Linked DNA regions of Rattus norvegicus. The protein of the gene in region 4 interacts with the protein of the main gene of each other region in a pairwise test. Links are inferred from orthologs where the notes say so. Each region holds a gene or a part of one and is shown on either strand. Other genes may lie near its edges. The genes, in order: Hmbox1, Cep70, Hap1 and C7h8orf33.

The links.
Region 1: the proteins of C7h8orf33 (region 4) and Hmbox1 interact in binary tests that used the Homo sapiens proteins (3 or more experiments, as listed by UniProt). The two-hybrid records come from large-scale screens. The link is inferred for Rattus norvegicus from reciprocal best matches to the Homo sapiens genes C8orf33 and HMBOX1.
Region 2: the proteins of C7h8orf33 (region 4) and Cep70 interact in binary tests that used the Homo sapiens proteins (3 or more experiments, as listed by UniProt). The link is inferred for Rattus norvegicus from reciprocal best matches to the Homo sapiens genes C8orf33 and CEP70.
Region 3: the proteins of C7h8orf33 (region 4) and Hap1 interact in a two-hybrid assay, tested with the Homo sapiens proteins (2 studies listed by BioGRID and IntAct). The link is inferred for Rattus norvegicus from reciprocal best matches to the Homo sapiens genes C8orf33 and HAP1.

Annotation. Positions count from the first base shown.
Region 1 is NC_086033.1:43,254,001-43,257,563, forward strand, and holds part of Hmbox1 (homeobox containing 1), read right to left. Parts: intron 3,236-3,563; coding exon of another isoform or gene 3,233-3,235; coding exon 3,141-3,232; intron 2,921-3,140; coding exon of another isoform or gene 2,825-2,920; exon of another isoform or gene 2,816-2,824; intron 1,269-2,815; coding exon 1,131-1,268; 3' UTR 1-1,130. UniProt on the Homo sapiens protein: Binds directly to 5'-TTAGGG-3' repeats in telomeric DNA. Associates with the telomerase complex at sites of active telomere processing and positively regulates telomere elongation.
Region 2 is NC_086026.1:108,710,204-108,713,766, reverse strand, and holds part of Cep70 (centrosomal protein of 70 kDa), read right to left. Parts: exon of another isoform or gene 3,342-3,563; intron 2,474-3,341; coding exon 2,383-2,473; intron 2,231-2,382; coding exon 2,107-2,230; intron 1,152-2,106; coding exon 971-1,151; intron 1-970.
Region 3 is NC_086028.1:85,783,691-85,787,735, forward strand, and holds the start of Hap1 (huntingtin-associated protein 1), read right to left. Parts: upstream 2,814-4,045; 5' UTR 2,792-2,813; coding exon 2,401-2,791; intron 1,462-2,400; coding exon 1,385-1,461; intron 1,059-1,384; coding exon 942-1,058; intron 830-941; coding exon 651-829; intron 506-650; coding exon 406-505; intron 301-405; coding exon 234-300; intron 1-233. UniProt on the Homo sapiens protein: Originally identified as neuronal protein that specifically associates with HTT/huntingtin and the binding is enhanced by an expanded polyglutamine repeat within HTT possibly affecting HAP1 interaction properties.
Region 4 is NC_086025.1:110,561,470-110,565,507, forward strand, and holds C7h8orf33 (hypothetical protein LOC681282), read left to right. Parts: upstream 1-1,265; 5' UTR 1,266-1,522; coding exon 1,523-1,528; intron 1,529-1,608; coding exon 1,609-1,899; intron 1,900-2,041; coding exon 2,042-2,126; intron 2,127-2,439; coding exon 2,440-2,586; intron 2,587-3,042; coding exon 3,043-3,182; 3' UTR 3,183-3,516; downstream 3,517-4,038.

The DNA.
Region 1 (3,563 bases), on a different chromosome or scaffold from region 4:
AGAAAAGGGAACACAGCAGGGACGTCCTGCTGTCCCACGCGCTCGACATGTAGGTGGCAATGTCCCCTGCTTTTTCTGCACCTAGCTAGGCAAGGATCCCCGTCTGTGACAGTCAAGTTGCCACGGTCCCCAGCAGAGTCCTAGCAACCCTTGGTGGGCCTCAGGTGACAGGTACAAAGCCTGCTTTCCACTCACTCTTGACCTCAGCTCTATACTTTCTGGTAGCAGGGAGGGGGCACCAACAGGAGGCAAAGCAACTTCCAAGGTAACTCCAATACTTCCCAGGCAGGCGCTGGCATCGCGCTGTGGAATGTATAGCGGCCCGAGACCTGGGCTTAGCGTCCATCCGACACTCAGCTCATGCTTTCCCTACTGCTCTCAAGCTGGGTTTTGCTTTTCAGAACTTGGTTTTTGTCTTTTTTGTTTTAGAATCGTGGTCCCAAAGGCGGAAGGCAGTATATTATCTACTAGGTCACACAGCTTGTAAGACAGAAGGATGTCTGTGTTGGGCATTAGCATTAACCAAGATCTGAGCTTGGGATTCCAACGACATTCGTAACACAGCACCCAGAGAAGTAGAGCCTGGCCACACTGTGACAGGAGGCGGCTTATTGCAGCTGAATCAGTGCGTCTCACGCCGAGGTGGGGCTCTATGTTCCTTGTGCTCCGCTCCACGGATCCTTGCCAGATGGTGTCTGTCGGCCCTGTGCCACTGCCTCAGCCTGCATCCCATCAGTCTTAGGGCGGGGACGGGGTACAGCCTAGTTTTACAGGAATCTAAAGGTACCCAAGATTTTACACAGAGCCTAATATTTGAGAACTGAGGGTTATCTAAATACTTGGAAGCACTTTCTTGGAATGCTAAGACAGAGCAGCGAGATTTGTCTTTTCACCTCAGGGGCTGGGAGAGGGAGGTTTGTCTGTTTGCTTCTTACTTACTGGAGTTTGAATACTGAGAGAGTATATGCAAAGGCTGAATGAGGGCACCATGCCATCTTCACAGAACAAGACCCTAATGGCTACCTGACATACAAGGAACTGTAAGTTATACTGTAAGAACACATGTTAAGGACCGAGGAAAGTCTGCTAAGGTGCTACGTCTAAACTAAGTTAACTGTTTAACTCCCTGATCAGTCATCATCCAGGGCCTCTGTCTTGATTTCATTGGCTCCCTGCCGGGCCAATGCCAAGATAGTGTGGTTGACGGCCGCCATCTCCACAGCTAACGAGATGGGATCTTGGTGGTCGCTATGGCTCGTGCTGTCATCCTAGACGTGCAGAGATAAGAAAGGAATGTTATTGGTTGGCTGGCAGCAATCTCAAGCTCACAAAAAGGCATGCAGGGGTGCCGTGCGGGGGACAGAGCATCTGTGGAGAAAATGGCTGAGTGCATCTCATGGTGGAGGTGAACTGTATTTAAGTAGACACTGAATGGACACAGGTCCAGAGACTTTCAATTTTTTGTGACTCAATAAATAAAAAGGATATAAATGATTTGTTTTGTTCCTTTTTTCGCACAGTATTTATTCTACCAAAAATTGCTAGTGCTGATCAAAGCTGAAGTGATCAAAATAAACTAATAGTCTGGATTTTTCTGTTTGCCACAGATACAACAGTGACCTAGTGTACTCCTAAATCCACAAAGCTACTGGGACCCAGTGTGTCCCTGCTGAGAACAGTGGAGGAAATGTAGAACAAGCACCTTACAGATCAGGGACGGTCTGCAGTTACACAAGTTGCAGGTGCAGACCCCGACTGAGAGCTAAGTGAAGCTTTCCACCCTCTAAGTCGCACACAGTAAACAGTGAGGCTGCTGGTGGGCGTAGGGACACACGCCTGTGACCCCACCATGCCCAGGCCGAGGCAAGAGACTGACTGCAAGTTCCAAAACCAAACCAAGGCAAACCCAGACAATCGAGGAATAAAGCAGTGATGGAAGTTCTCCCTGCAGGTGTGCTGGGCACTAAAGGCGCCATCACAGATCTGGGACGGATCTCACCTGTCTCATCTTCAGGGGACTCTGTACCAAAGAGCTTTGGAAAGAAAAGTCCCTTGCGGGAAGCATGTGATGTGCTGCCCTCAGGGCATCTGCAAAAAAAGGTGGCAATGATCCATCCATGTGGGTCTGCTGACAAACGACAGGGATGTTTCCAGAAAGAAACAGCACTCCCCCGGGCGGAGGGTGGAGCTGTGCTTGGAGAACTGGGTCTCTTGGGGGCATAATCTGCTGGGACACATGGCTACTACTGTTTCGTTCTGGCTTTTAGACACTAGCCTTTGGGATTTAAGAAGGAATCTGCAGAGAATCACACATGTTGCTGCAATAGTGGATACGCGGAAGCTGAGGACAACTGAGAATGAAGAACATGGCGGCTGAGGACAAGGAAAACACCAGAAGAAAGAGTCTAGGGACAGGACCGTGTGTTCTTTGAATTTCCCAAGTGGAAATGAAATTTGATCCTATAGAACATTTTAATGAAATCTGTCAACATGTTTGCGGGTGTGGGGAATTCCCCCAATCACAGTTATCGACTTATTCCATGCAGTGGCTACAATTAAATACACTTTCCCGAAGCAAGGCAGAGCACAGCAGGATGAGATGAGAAACCATGCAGGTATTGCATTATGACAGGATGAGTCAGTGTCCAGAGAGACTCTGGTTAGCCACTCCTCTGGGCACGAGGGTTCCCAGTGTAATGGGGACTGGAGTGGGCGGGGCCTTTTGTGCCTTCATGGTCCACGGCAGGCACGGTCACAGCTGCCCGCATGCCCCTAAGTGTTTCTCAACACTGTGTGTGTGAGTGTTGTAACTTGCTTGTTTGGGTCAGATCCTCCTGTCTTCTTCTACCTTCTCTGCTTCTCTGCCTCCCTCTGAACTTCTTCCCTCCTCCTCCTCCCCATTGCGTGCTTGCCAAGTGTCCTGTTGTGTGACAACAAACCCATAGGGTGGATAGAGATTACTCACAGATTTAACAGGACAACAGAGTCTTACCACATTCCTTTCCAAACGCATGAAAATCTAACTAGACACATGAGCAGAGTGGAGGGACACCAGCTGCTCCCCGGCCCCATACAACCACCCACAGACTTGAGTTGCCACTGCCCCCCACGGTAACCAGAAGGCTAGCCCAGCCACCCACCTGCTCAGAGTAGTCGTTCCCGTCCACATCGTCGCTGTTGGAATGGCCTCCTGGACTCTGTACATCGATCCCATGACTCTCCAGGATTGCTGCTTCTTCGAAAAAAGCAAATAGATCCCTAAATTATCTGCTGCCTCCACATAGTGGCTGCACATGATTTTATGGTGAGGAAATCAGAACATGGTTAGTCGCTAGTCATCTTTCAATGGGAGAAGTTCAACTCTGTGTAGCTTGGGGTAGAGTCCAGCTTCAATGCACAGCAAACTTCCCACTGGTTAAGTACCAAGCGGACTGTTGGGCACTTCACAGAACTTACTATGTTAACAGCTGTCCTGGCGGGCAGGGCAAGGCATCTGACAAGTGGAATGGCAAGTAAATGGCAAGTGAAATGAAGTCATACTTCTCCTGATGCTGGGCATCAAA
Region 2 (3,563 bases), on a different chromosome or scaffold from region 4:
CCTGATTTCTTACCCAGGACCCCCATCCCAGAGGTGGCCTCACCCACCAGGGGCTGGGGCTTCCCACATCAATCACCAATTAAGAAAATGACCCCATATACAGGTACACTATAAGATCTACACAAGACACCATAAACTCTAAACAGAGCATTATGGTCTGTATGAAGGCACTATGAGCTGTGTACAGGGCGACATATGCTCAAAACAGGGCAAGAATTATACTCTGGATATTATGACATTATTATATATACATTGTACTAGGATTTCTTTGCAGATAACTGACTTCTATAATATTCAGTATGGGATATACATAGAGTATTATATGGCATTTACAGTGAAATCCGAGCTCATTATAGAACAATCTTAGATATATTCAGGCACTGATATCTATATATAGGACATGAAAGCTCTAAACATGGTACTATGGCTGCTATAAAGTAGACTTAGATTTACAAGTGCAGGAAAATCCCTGTGCAGGTACAATGAGCTGCACAACAGTGCAGTATTAGATGCTGAAAGGCTCATTGGTGTCAGAGCTTCCTGCTCTTCTAGAGGACCCGAATTCAGTTTCCAGTATCCATAACCATCAGCTCACAAGCTCCTGTAATTCCAGTTCCAGGAGACCTAACACCGTTTTCTGGCCTCCAAAGGCACCCATACATTCATGGCATACATCCACACAGACATATACATGTACCTGTTAGGAACACTCATGAAACTACAGCAAGCAGCCACATAGATGAATGTCAAAATGGGGTGCTAAATAGAAAAGATCACCTATTAGCATTACTGGCCTCTGCCAATGTTAACTGTTTTCTTCTAACAATTCAACTACATACCTCAAAACATTTGGATTTCCTTGACTTCTTTGCCGGACATACACCATGGAAGGCACAAGAAATTACCTGGAACTATGATGAACTATTTTAACACTAATCAAATAACAAAATATATTAATTCAATAGAATACCTGTAACGTTTTATATTCCTTTTGAAGGTCTTTTATTCTATTTTGTTCCTGGCAAACCCTGTTTAGCGATTCATCTTCTAATTCACCAATTTTGGATTTCACACTGTCCATGATCTGCTGAAGGTCATTGGCTCGCTGTTCCTGGTGTGCCGCTCGGTTCTGTTCTAGCTGAAGTTCACTTCTAATTAACAGACACAATTCCATCCCATCAGTGTTAAAGGAAACCAGATCATACATGTCATATAATAGGTTACTTTCCAAAATGTCTTCACATTTTTATTTATTTATTTATTCTTTTAGGTTGCTGTCTTCAGACACATCAGAAGAGGGCATCTGATCCCATTACAGATGGTTGTGAGCCACCATATGGTTGCTGGGAATTGAACTCAGGACCTCTGGAAGAGTAGTCGGTGCTCTTAACCACTGAGCCATCTCTCCAGCCCCTCACATTTTTTTTTTTTTCCGGAGCTGGGGACCGAACCCAGGGCCTTGCGCTTCCTAGGCAAGCGCTCTACCACTGAGCTAAATCCCTAACCCCGCCCCTCACATTTTTAATATTTCTTATTTTATTTTGGTGCCGAGACTCAAAAGTTAGCATAATTAGCATTGAACTGTAGCCTAGCCTCAACACTTCTATCTTCTAATAGGTCTGCGGCCATGCCCCCTGACGTATCCAGTCTTGTCTCTCTTACAGGAGGGAGTAACAGAAGAAACAGAGGTACCATTACACGTCAGTGCTAAGTGCTACCTAAAGTAATTTACTCAGTGTTTGCCCATTTATCTGTAAAAAATGTTATGTTTTACATTCATTACAAATGAAATTTTGGGGGGCTGGAGAGATGGTTCAGTGGTTAAGAGCACTGGCTACTCTTCCGAAGGACCCAGGTTCAGTTCCCAGCACGCATACAGTGCTTCATAATCATTCATAATCAGCTCCAGAGGATTTCACACCCTCTTCTGAACACTTAGGGCTCAGGCACCCCCATGGGACATTTACAAACATGCTAACAGAAACACTCATACACATAAGACGTAAAAAAAAAAAATCTAAGTATAAAGAAATTTCAGGATCCTCTTCAGAGAGCTGTGTTTAGAATACATGCAAACAACCCCAGGGGCACTCCCCTTTTCCTTACTTAAGCTGATGGTTTGTCTCTATGAGCTCCTGTAGCATGCTCTGCTGACGTGTGGTTTCTTCCATCAGTGTTTTGAAAGCCTGCCTCATTCTTTGTGATGATTGTTTGTCAAAAACGATGAAATCTGCATTGTAAAAAAATTATACACACATATATATTATATATATACACACACATATGAGATAGTAAAACCAAAGGGAAAGTAAAACCATTTTAAGATAAAAAACTTCTTTAAAAAAACTGTTTTGTACCTAACAAATCAGCAGGAGTAGTTACCTCTGAGATTGGCTCCTTTGACTAGGCACAAAGGTTTAAAGCCACGCGTCACCAACAGCCTACTGATGCTTTCCCATTCTGCTTCCTCCTGCTACAAGCACAGCAGAGAAAAAAAATCACTTGAAGATGTGGAGAAAAACCTCCTATGATTGCCTCTGTTTTCAGAAAAGAACCGTTTCTCCAAAAGACGTCTCATTTTTAAATGGACGTGTTTGTGTGTCTGCATGTAGACATGACACATTAAGTTCAGTTGCCTGCAAACACCTGACAAGTGTCAGCCCCTTGAGTTTGAAGTGGTTGTAAGTCACACAACATGGCTGCTGTGATGGTTGCTGGAAGACCAGCAAGCCATCTCTCCAGAACTCAAAAGGTTTTATGAATTTTTTTTCCTCTACTATGTACCCCTGGATGGACTTAAACTGGCAATGTTAGACCAGGTCAGCCTTGAACTTAGAGATGTGACTGACTCGGCTTCCCAAGTACTAGAATAAAAGATGTGCGTGTCATGCCTGGATTTAATAGGAAATTTTATGTATTAAAGGTAAGTGGCTGGCGAATGGCTCAGCAGTTAAGAGCACTGACTGTTCTTCCAAAGGTCCTGAGTTCAATTCCCAGCAATCACCTGGTGGCTCACAACCATCTGTAATGAGATCTGATGCCCTCTTCTGGTGACAACAGTGTACTCACATACATTGGAATAAATAAATCTTTAAAAAAAAAATAAATTAAAGGTAAAACGGATGTTTTTACTAAAATCAGCAACAGAATAGAAATATGCAAATGATTAAATTATTGCATTATACAAAATATTCACATGCAGGCCTTAGTAGGAAATTAGAACAAAAACAACTTGTAATTTCAGTGAAACAGATAAGTCTAATTAAAAAAGATCAGGCCATTCTCAGAGAACACAACTAAAAACTAAAACTAGGCACTCGGAAACAAGTATCCCTTTAACAATGATGAAAAAAGAAATCAAGGTCCATGTGAAGGCTGACTCAGGAAACAGCTGCTTCCAAAGGGGCAGGCTCTGGCCAGGTAGCAGTGGCAGTGAGGTTAAACAAGCAGAAGAGAGATTAAGTTCTACATCCAAAAATCAGATTGAAAGATTGATCTGTCCAGGTTCCTCTTTAATGTGAACCCATTTGAGATTGTTCAGCTACTCCTGAAGTAACAGATAA
Region 3 (4,045 bases), on a different chromosome or scaffold from region 4:
TGCTCAACGGTGATGCTTCTCCTGACCCTCATAAACCCTGAGGGGATGAAGAGCAGGCCGGGGTTATCAGTCCTCATTGTAAAGATGAAGATTCAGAGAAGCCGAGGAATTTGGCCGTGCTAACACAGCGGCAAAGTGCCGGAGCCAGGACTGCATCTCCAGACCCCAAACCCTGAGTTCTTCCTATCAGCTCTTGGGACAGCGCCCTTTCCCCGGATTACAGTGTCACGTACAAAACTGTTCCACACACTCCAGAATGAGCATCTGTTCTTTGTCTTCCAGGTTGTCAAGGTGGGAGGCCTGGAGGAAGGGGAATAGGAAGGGGTAAGGCCGCCACCATCCCCCCCCACCCCCGCCGTCAGTCACCCTCCCCTGCCCAAGGGCACGCCCCCTCCCTGTCCTCACCTCCTCTCGAAGATGGTCGTTCTCTTCTTCCAGCAGTTTCAGCTTCTGCTTCAGGGCTTCCAGCTGTGGGCAGTGGTGCAGCGTCTCAGCCTTAGGGGGCCTGGCAAGGGGGCAATGAGAGTCAGACTGTAAGGGGTGGAGGATCCCAGTCCCCCAAGGCTTCCCCAGACGAGGCAATGCCAGCAGGCTAACTGCCCATGCCCGTTTACAAACGGACAACCGAGGCACAAAGGCAGAACACGCACGGCTTGGGGGCACCATAGGGATGGTCGTGCTGCTGATCTTGGTCCCTCTGTCCTTCTCGTTCCTCCTCTTCTCCCTCTTCCTCTTCCTCATCCTCTTCATCCTCCTCATCGTCATCGGAGTCCGAGTAGAGCTGAAGGAGATCATCTCGCAGGTTCACCTGCTTCCGGAGATGTAAAATCTAGGGCAGGAGAAAGGGGCCGCAGAAAGGTGAGCACGGAGGGGCAGAACAGGTGCTGGTTGGGGGAGGGAACAAGCCGAACCCTCCTCTTGGTCCTTAGGAGCCCAGATACCTCCTCTCTGGCTGAGCCCAGCATGGTTTCCAGCTTGTTATTCTCCTCCATCAGAACACTATTCTGTTTCACCAGGGACTGGCCGATGCGAGCGGCTGTGTTCAGGTCCCGTTCTTTCTGCAAAAGGAGAGCCAACCATTCCATACTTCTCCCAAACAGGAGGGCGAGAGCAGGGGCTAAGCCACAAGAAGAAAGTTGCCCCAGCACCCAGCCGTCCAAGTACTAAACCAAAGACTATTAACCAACTCTGGGGTCTGACTCAGTTTCTCATCCTGAGGAAAAAGATCAGCCCAGATTTGGTCCTCTGAAATCTATGTGCCTTTCAGGAAAGGGGCCCTCAAGTTGGCACCCAGGCAAGCAGAAAACAGACAAAAGCCCTAAGTCCTGTAGGGAAGAGCTAAAATGAGGGCTGGCCTGAGTGAAGAAGGCAAGGCGGTACCCACCTCTTCCAGCAAATACAACATCACTTTGATATCATCTTCGGTGATCTTCTTCCTGGGCAGTGGATTAGGACACAGCGCTGCAGGAGGAAAGGCCTGAGTGGATCAGGGAAAGGAGCCGAGGCTGCCCACAGCCCCCTACATCCCTCACAACAAAAGTGGTGAGACTGCGTTCTATCTGGCCCTAACACCCTCTTCACAGCTCCGGATCTCAGCACTCCTGCCTTCTCAGGAGGGGCCTGGGTGCTGTAAAGGCAAAACCATCCTCCAGGCTCAGGAACCAGACTTTCAAGACCCCTGGGTCTCTGGTCCCTCGAGATAAGAAGTCAGGGGAAATACTGGATTCATCATGCCTGACTCAGTCGGCAGCTTAGCCAGCTCACTGGAGACTCCTCGATCGTAACAGATGCACGTAACCCATCCTAAACCTGTTGCATGTGACAGGAGGGCCAAGTAGACTTACTTCTTCAGCACCAGAAGCGGGCACCTCAGCCTAAAATTGCCCCGCCCAGAAGAGGAGGGACAGAAGGCCAGTGCCCCGCCCACTCCTCCCGCTTCAATCCTGCTTCAGGAAAGCGCGACCCAGACCCCTCCGGCCAAGCAGTGTCAAAGGCTCCCGCCCCGCCCCCCGCTCTACCCACCCACGCTGGCTGGTCCTGCGGGCTAGCGCAGGCTCAAAGCGCACCCGGCAGCGCACCCGCAACCCCCGCCCCTCTGCTGGCACTGCGGTAGACGGGGAGGGGGCATTGAGAGTGCGCAGATCTGCCACAGCAACAGGCGCGAAGAGGGGGGCGGGGAGAGCAAGACAGCCCTAGATCTGACGCACCTACAATAATCGGGGAACCTGAGACAGAGGAAAAGATGGGGAAAGGGAAACCAAACAGGCACGGCGGACAGTGGTCTCGCAGGGGTGGTGGAAAGGTGGGACTGAGAGCCACAAGGGGGCGGGGCGCCTGAGTCGGTGGTTATTAGAGATGCCCTAATAACGCCCAGTGTGGGATCCCCGAGACTCAGTTTACCTTCCTGCAGCTCTCGAATAAACGCCGCGCGCTCAGGGCCGGACACGCCGGGCCTTCGGCCGATGTACGCGGCTGGCGTCTTCCAGATTCCCTCAGCCCTTCCAGTGCCCAGGCCAGTAGCCCGGGGACCGTAAGGCCCCTGGAATATGTAGCGGGTCCATGGTGCGTCCGAGTCGCCACGGATCCTGGACCTACAAAAGCTTCCTCCTGTCTTGGTTCGGGATCCTGATTTCTGTCCGGACCCGGTTCCCTGCGCCGGAGCAGGTTTGGGCTCTGCCGAGGGCTCCGGAGCGGGATCCGCTGCAGGCTGGGTCGTGGGGGTGCCTGTTGCTGGGTCCCCCGACCCCGTCCCGTCCCCGGCACTGCTCTGCACCTGCTCCTTCGGGCGCATCTTGACTCTGCAGTCCGCTGTCGCAGCCGAGCCTTTATAACCTGTGCTCGGAGCGGGCGCCACTGGGCTGTACCACGTGTGGCGCTAGGGGTGACCGTTGATCAATTAGTGGTGCTGAGGACTCGGGATCCTACGAGAAAGCAGCCAGTGGTGACGGAATAGGACGTAAATGAATGAAGAAGAAAGAAAGAGATGAGAGAGTGCCCAGTTTTTTCCATGGGATCGAGTTCACGATGATGGGTTTCTCTTCCCTTCCATCTTCTGAGAATGGTTCTGTCCAAAGCCGCGGCTTCCCTGGACTTGAGTAGAGGGACCCGTAGCTTCTGCCTAGAAACAACCCCCCCCTCCCAGCCCTCCCGCGCGCGCTCCCGTCACCCCAGCTTCCAGGGGCTTTCTCTGTTGTTCTACACAACATTGAATACATTCCGAGGTGACCTGAGAATCGAGGCAGTACGCCTGTGTCTTCCCAGGTGGATTAAGCGAGAAATCCAAACTCCGGTATGGCTTTCAACGTGTTGCGTGTCATCCACAGGTCCTCGAGCTCACACTCCCGCACTCGCCCCTAGACGCCTTCCATCTTACTGCGTTCACCACTCGTTCTTTTATCTCCAACCCTAATTCGCAAGGCCTATATATAGTCCAAGCATCTTCGGAGGGGATCCTACTTAAATGTTTCTCTGTGACGACTCTTCCAGACCTCCGTGTACACACACACACACACACACACACACACACACACACACACACCAAAACACCCGTTATCCCGGGGTCTGAAAGGATCAATGTCGGTCTTCACGACTTTACCTATGCTCTTCAGTTCATGGACGGTGGGCTCCCCAGAGAAATAGATGCTTTGGAAGCTTGCTCTCGGTCCTGAATGAACTGGGAGAGGGGGGTGGGAGCTAGGGAGGGCAGTAGCCATGTCTATGCTTTTAGACTGCGAGACAGGCTAAAAGGAAATGGTGACTCATGGACTCAGATCTCAAAATCGTTCTTGATGTTCTCCCTTCTCCTCCACCATCCTCCAATTGCCAATCCTATTGATTTCACCTTTTTGAAAATATTTCATTTTAATATATTTTGTATGTGGTGTACGAATGTGTCCGTGTCTGTGGGCAGAAGTCGGCGGTCAACATCAGATGTTGTCTGGCCCTTGCCATCTCGTTTTTTTGAGACAAGGTCTCTCACGGAATCTGGAGTTCAGCACTTTGACTAGACCGTCTGGCCAGGGAGCCCCCAGACACCCACTTAACT
Region 4 (4,038 bases):
GATCACATCTTCAGCTGTAAATGTAAGCAGAATCCAAACCTGAAGTGAGGTGTCTGGTGTCCTAGAACTCACTCTCTAGACCTGGCTGACCTGGAACTCACAGCGATCCCAGTGCTGGGATTAAAGGTGTGCACCACCTCCTTGAGGCTATGAACTCTTCCTACTTCATACCTTCAGGAACTTCCACTAGTGAGATGGTGCCACCCCGTAATCGTCCCAAACAGGACCACCAGCAGGGACCGAGTATTCATTTGCCTTTGGTGGAATTCTCAAACACCCACATTCCATTCCCTGACTCCTGTAGTGTTTTAAATGAGATGTCTTCTATAAATCTCTGGAGTTTGAATCCTTGGTCCCCAGTTGTTGGCTGTTTGGGAAGGATTAGGAGGTGTGTTCTTGTTGGAGGAGGTGTGTTACTGAGGGCTGGGTTTAAGGTTTTCAAAGCCTCTTACCATGCCCATGGTGTTCGCTTCCTCCTGCTTTTGGATCGAGATGTGAGCTCTCAGCTGCTGTTCCAGTCCTCCTCTGCCATGCTTTCCTTCCATCATCATAAATTTTGTCCCCCTGGACAAATTTGTCCCCTAATCAAACTATTTTTCTAAGTTGCCTTGGCCAGAGTGTTTTATGGCCATATCGTAAAGTAAAAATGCATTTAATCTAACTGTAAAAGTTCCCATCATCTTTTTCAGTTTCAACATTGTTTAAAAAGTCCCAAGGTAATCTCTTAACTATAGACCCCGGTAAAGTCAAAAGTAAAATTATATACTTCCGACGTACAAGGGCACAGTATGTACGCTGGCATTCCAAAACTGTGGAATAGAGGCATAGCGAAGAGATACAAAATACCAAACCCTGAAGCTCCGTGTCTGGTATCTGCAGTCCCACGGTTAGACCGCTATGATAGCTATTGCTATTCTTGGTTGTCAACTTGAAAACAAACGTCTGGAATTATCCTAAAACCCACGGGACTGGGTACACCTGTAAGAGAGTTTTTCTTGAGGTGGGAAGATGCACCTTAAATCTGGGCCACGTCTTCGGGTGGCAGCCTATATAAAGGTCGTGGAAGAAGGACGTTCTTGCTCTTTGCATGCTTACTCCTACTCTCGCTGGCAAGTTCACTCCTTCATTGCTATTAGAGCCTAGTTCTTCAGGATTGTGATGTATACTGGAAACCAGCTGAACCATCTGGCTTTATGTGTGCCCCGCCCCGAACCGCCCTGCATGTCCACCTTGCCCCACCTCTGGGCGTTCCCCTCCACCCCGCGGGTTCCATTCTCCCCAGGGATCGTCTTGTTTTTTGGCGGCGCACTCTGCTGGGTTTTCCGAGGCCTTAAGTTAAGTTCCTGTGCACTCTGTCAACCCAAATTACAAGCACAACCTGGAGCGCTCCGTCCCGCGGTGAGCATTGGCTCTGGGTCCGCTGTACTTTCTGCGGAACCTTGTGTCGTAGACCTGTTTCCAGGGGAGTGAGTTCGCTATGGGATTTTTAGGATTTACTAGCTTCCGGTGACCTCTCCAGCTAATGGCGGTAAGCTGTGCGAGGTGTGTTTGTGGCGAGGCCCTAGGTGGGGAGACCCTGTGAATTTCGTCCTGTCCCACGTTTTTCAGGAGCCAGGGCATCCTGCTCGGGAGGCACCAGCAGCCTCAAGCCGGAGAACTAATCGCGCTCCGCGCAGACCTCAGCTCTCTCGCCCAGCTTCCGGTGCCTCGGATCCTCCTCTTCGTAATTCAGTGCAACCTACATGTGACTCCGCCAACAGGACACATCCCGTAGGCAACACAGTATCGATGAAGCAAAAGAAAAAGAAAACCCCGAACAGGGTCTCTGGGACAAATGGAAAGGAAAAGCCCTCCGAGAATCCTACTCCAGATGAAGCTCCCCCTAGTGCTGAGGCCCAGGCAAGGATGGGACTCCCTGTGAGCTTTCTGGATGCTAACCCGCCTACCTGTGTGGGCTAGGTGTGCGGAATTAAGGCGCTGAAGGTATGGGAGTGGAGTCTGCGGGATCCTATTGCCTGCCATGTCCTCCTTTCTACCACAGGCGGAGCAGCTGGCGCGGGAGCTGGCCTGGTGTGTGGAACAGCTGGAGCTGGGTCTCAGGACGCAGAGACCCACCCCGAAACAGAGTGAGGGACCCTACTTTATAGTTAAGGAAATGTAAACCATGACAGTGCTGTGGCCTGGTGGTGTTGCCAAGGGCTGGGATTGTTGCTTTTTGTTTGTTTACGTTGTTTTGGTTGTTTTTTTGTTTTTTTTTTTTGTTTGTTTGTTTTCCCCCCGCGAGACGGTCTCATTGTACAGATCCGCTTGCCTTTGCCTCCTGGGATTAAAGGCATGTGTCACCTCAGTCGAATGGGAATTGTTGCCTTTGTAGTAGGATGATATGGAGTGTGTTTGAAGTTACTAGCGCTTTAATTTTTTTTTTTTTTTAATCTGCAGAAGAGCAGGCTGTTGGGGCAATCCGAACGTTGCGGAGTGAAAAAACCCCCTTGCCCCGGAAGAGACAGCTGATGCGCTCCTTGTTTGGGGACTACAGGGCTCAGATGGATGCAGAGTGGCGGGAGGCCCTACGGGCTTTAAAGGCTGGTGAGGAACTAGAAAGTGATTGGTTCAGTACATTAACTTCAAGGGAGTGGCTCAGCTCAGCTGGGTTAGTGGGGAAGAGATGGGCTTGGGGGGGGGGGGAATTGTAAGCATGGAGAAAAGTATATACCTATTTGGGGACAGAGGTCCCGGAAGGAGGAGGGCCGAGGTCCTCACCTCAGTCTGTTTTGGAGATGGGAAAAACCACTCATCTGTCTTGGCCTGGGCTCACTTCACTGGCTATAAAGCTAGATCCCAGTTGGACTTTAGCTCCTGAAACAATAAATAACTTTGGCATAAATCCTGGATACGTTATTTAGATTTAAACGTTTTTGGTAAGTTACTGCATCTCTGTGAGTCTCATCAGAGAAGGCATTATTTACTTTTAGTACTGAGAAGTTAGGAGAGTTGTAACTGCACAGATCACGTTAGCTGACTCTCCACTCCCCCTTCCTACAGCCACCCGCTCGGCCCAGGTACAGCTGGTTGGCGAGGCCGCCAGAAAGAAGAGTGGAAGGGTCTGCAGGCCTCGTCCTGCAGGAAGAGCCGGAACCATGTCCGACTTGACCAACGAAGAGTTCCGGTTCAATTTCTTTTAGAGGCTCCTACATGCTGGACTAGTCATCCCCTCCGGGGTGGTGAGGGGGATTTGTCTTGAGTGCAGGGCCTTTCCAGGAATCCTCTCAGCAGAAGTGGGATTGGTTTGTCCCTCAGGACATGAAGCTGCTGGCCGGTGTGAAGCTGCCACGTGAGAACTTTTGAAAGAAATGTTCTTCCTGACAGAAGAGAGATGTGGAGTAGCTGCTGGTGATAAGGAACTGTGGAGAAGCTCTCGACACACTGGGCTCACTTTCGAAAGGGCGCCCTGGCCAGTTTTCAGTGCTTTACATATTGTTATATTGCCTTAATAAATCTTTTTTTAAAGAAATAGGATGGTGGGTGGAAGAGAGCTGTCTGTGTTATTGGAAGCAAAGTGAGACAGGGGCTGGGACTGCTTGGTCCAGCTCTGATGCCAGGGCCTCATCTGTTGTTGCTGTTGCTGTTGCTGTTTTTCTGAGCAGGTCATCATCTTCAAGGAGCCAGTGTGGCCACCATCCAGCTGTGTTTTGTTTTTAGGAGCCAAGGAGCTACTTGTCCTAACCTGAACTGAGTCTTAGCAGACCGCATTTAAAACAAAACAAAGCAAAACCCTTTGTTTGTGTGTGTGAATGGTGTGTAAGTGGGCGGGTATTAGCGTGCTGGGCACACATGTATAAAAGTGTCTTTTATTCCCCTGATGTAATTGTCTTCAGAGGCTCACTGCCTTCTTCTGCTAGCCTAGGCCTAGTCCTGGAAGCTTCTAGCCTGGGTACCATCTTATCTAGGCCTGGAATGTTTTCAGTTTCTGAGACTTACTGCTGAATAAGATCACCCTTTCTAGCTCTTTTCTTAGCTCTGGCTGGCTGGTTCAACTCA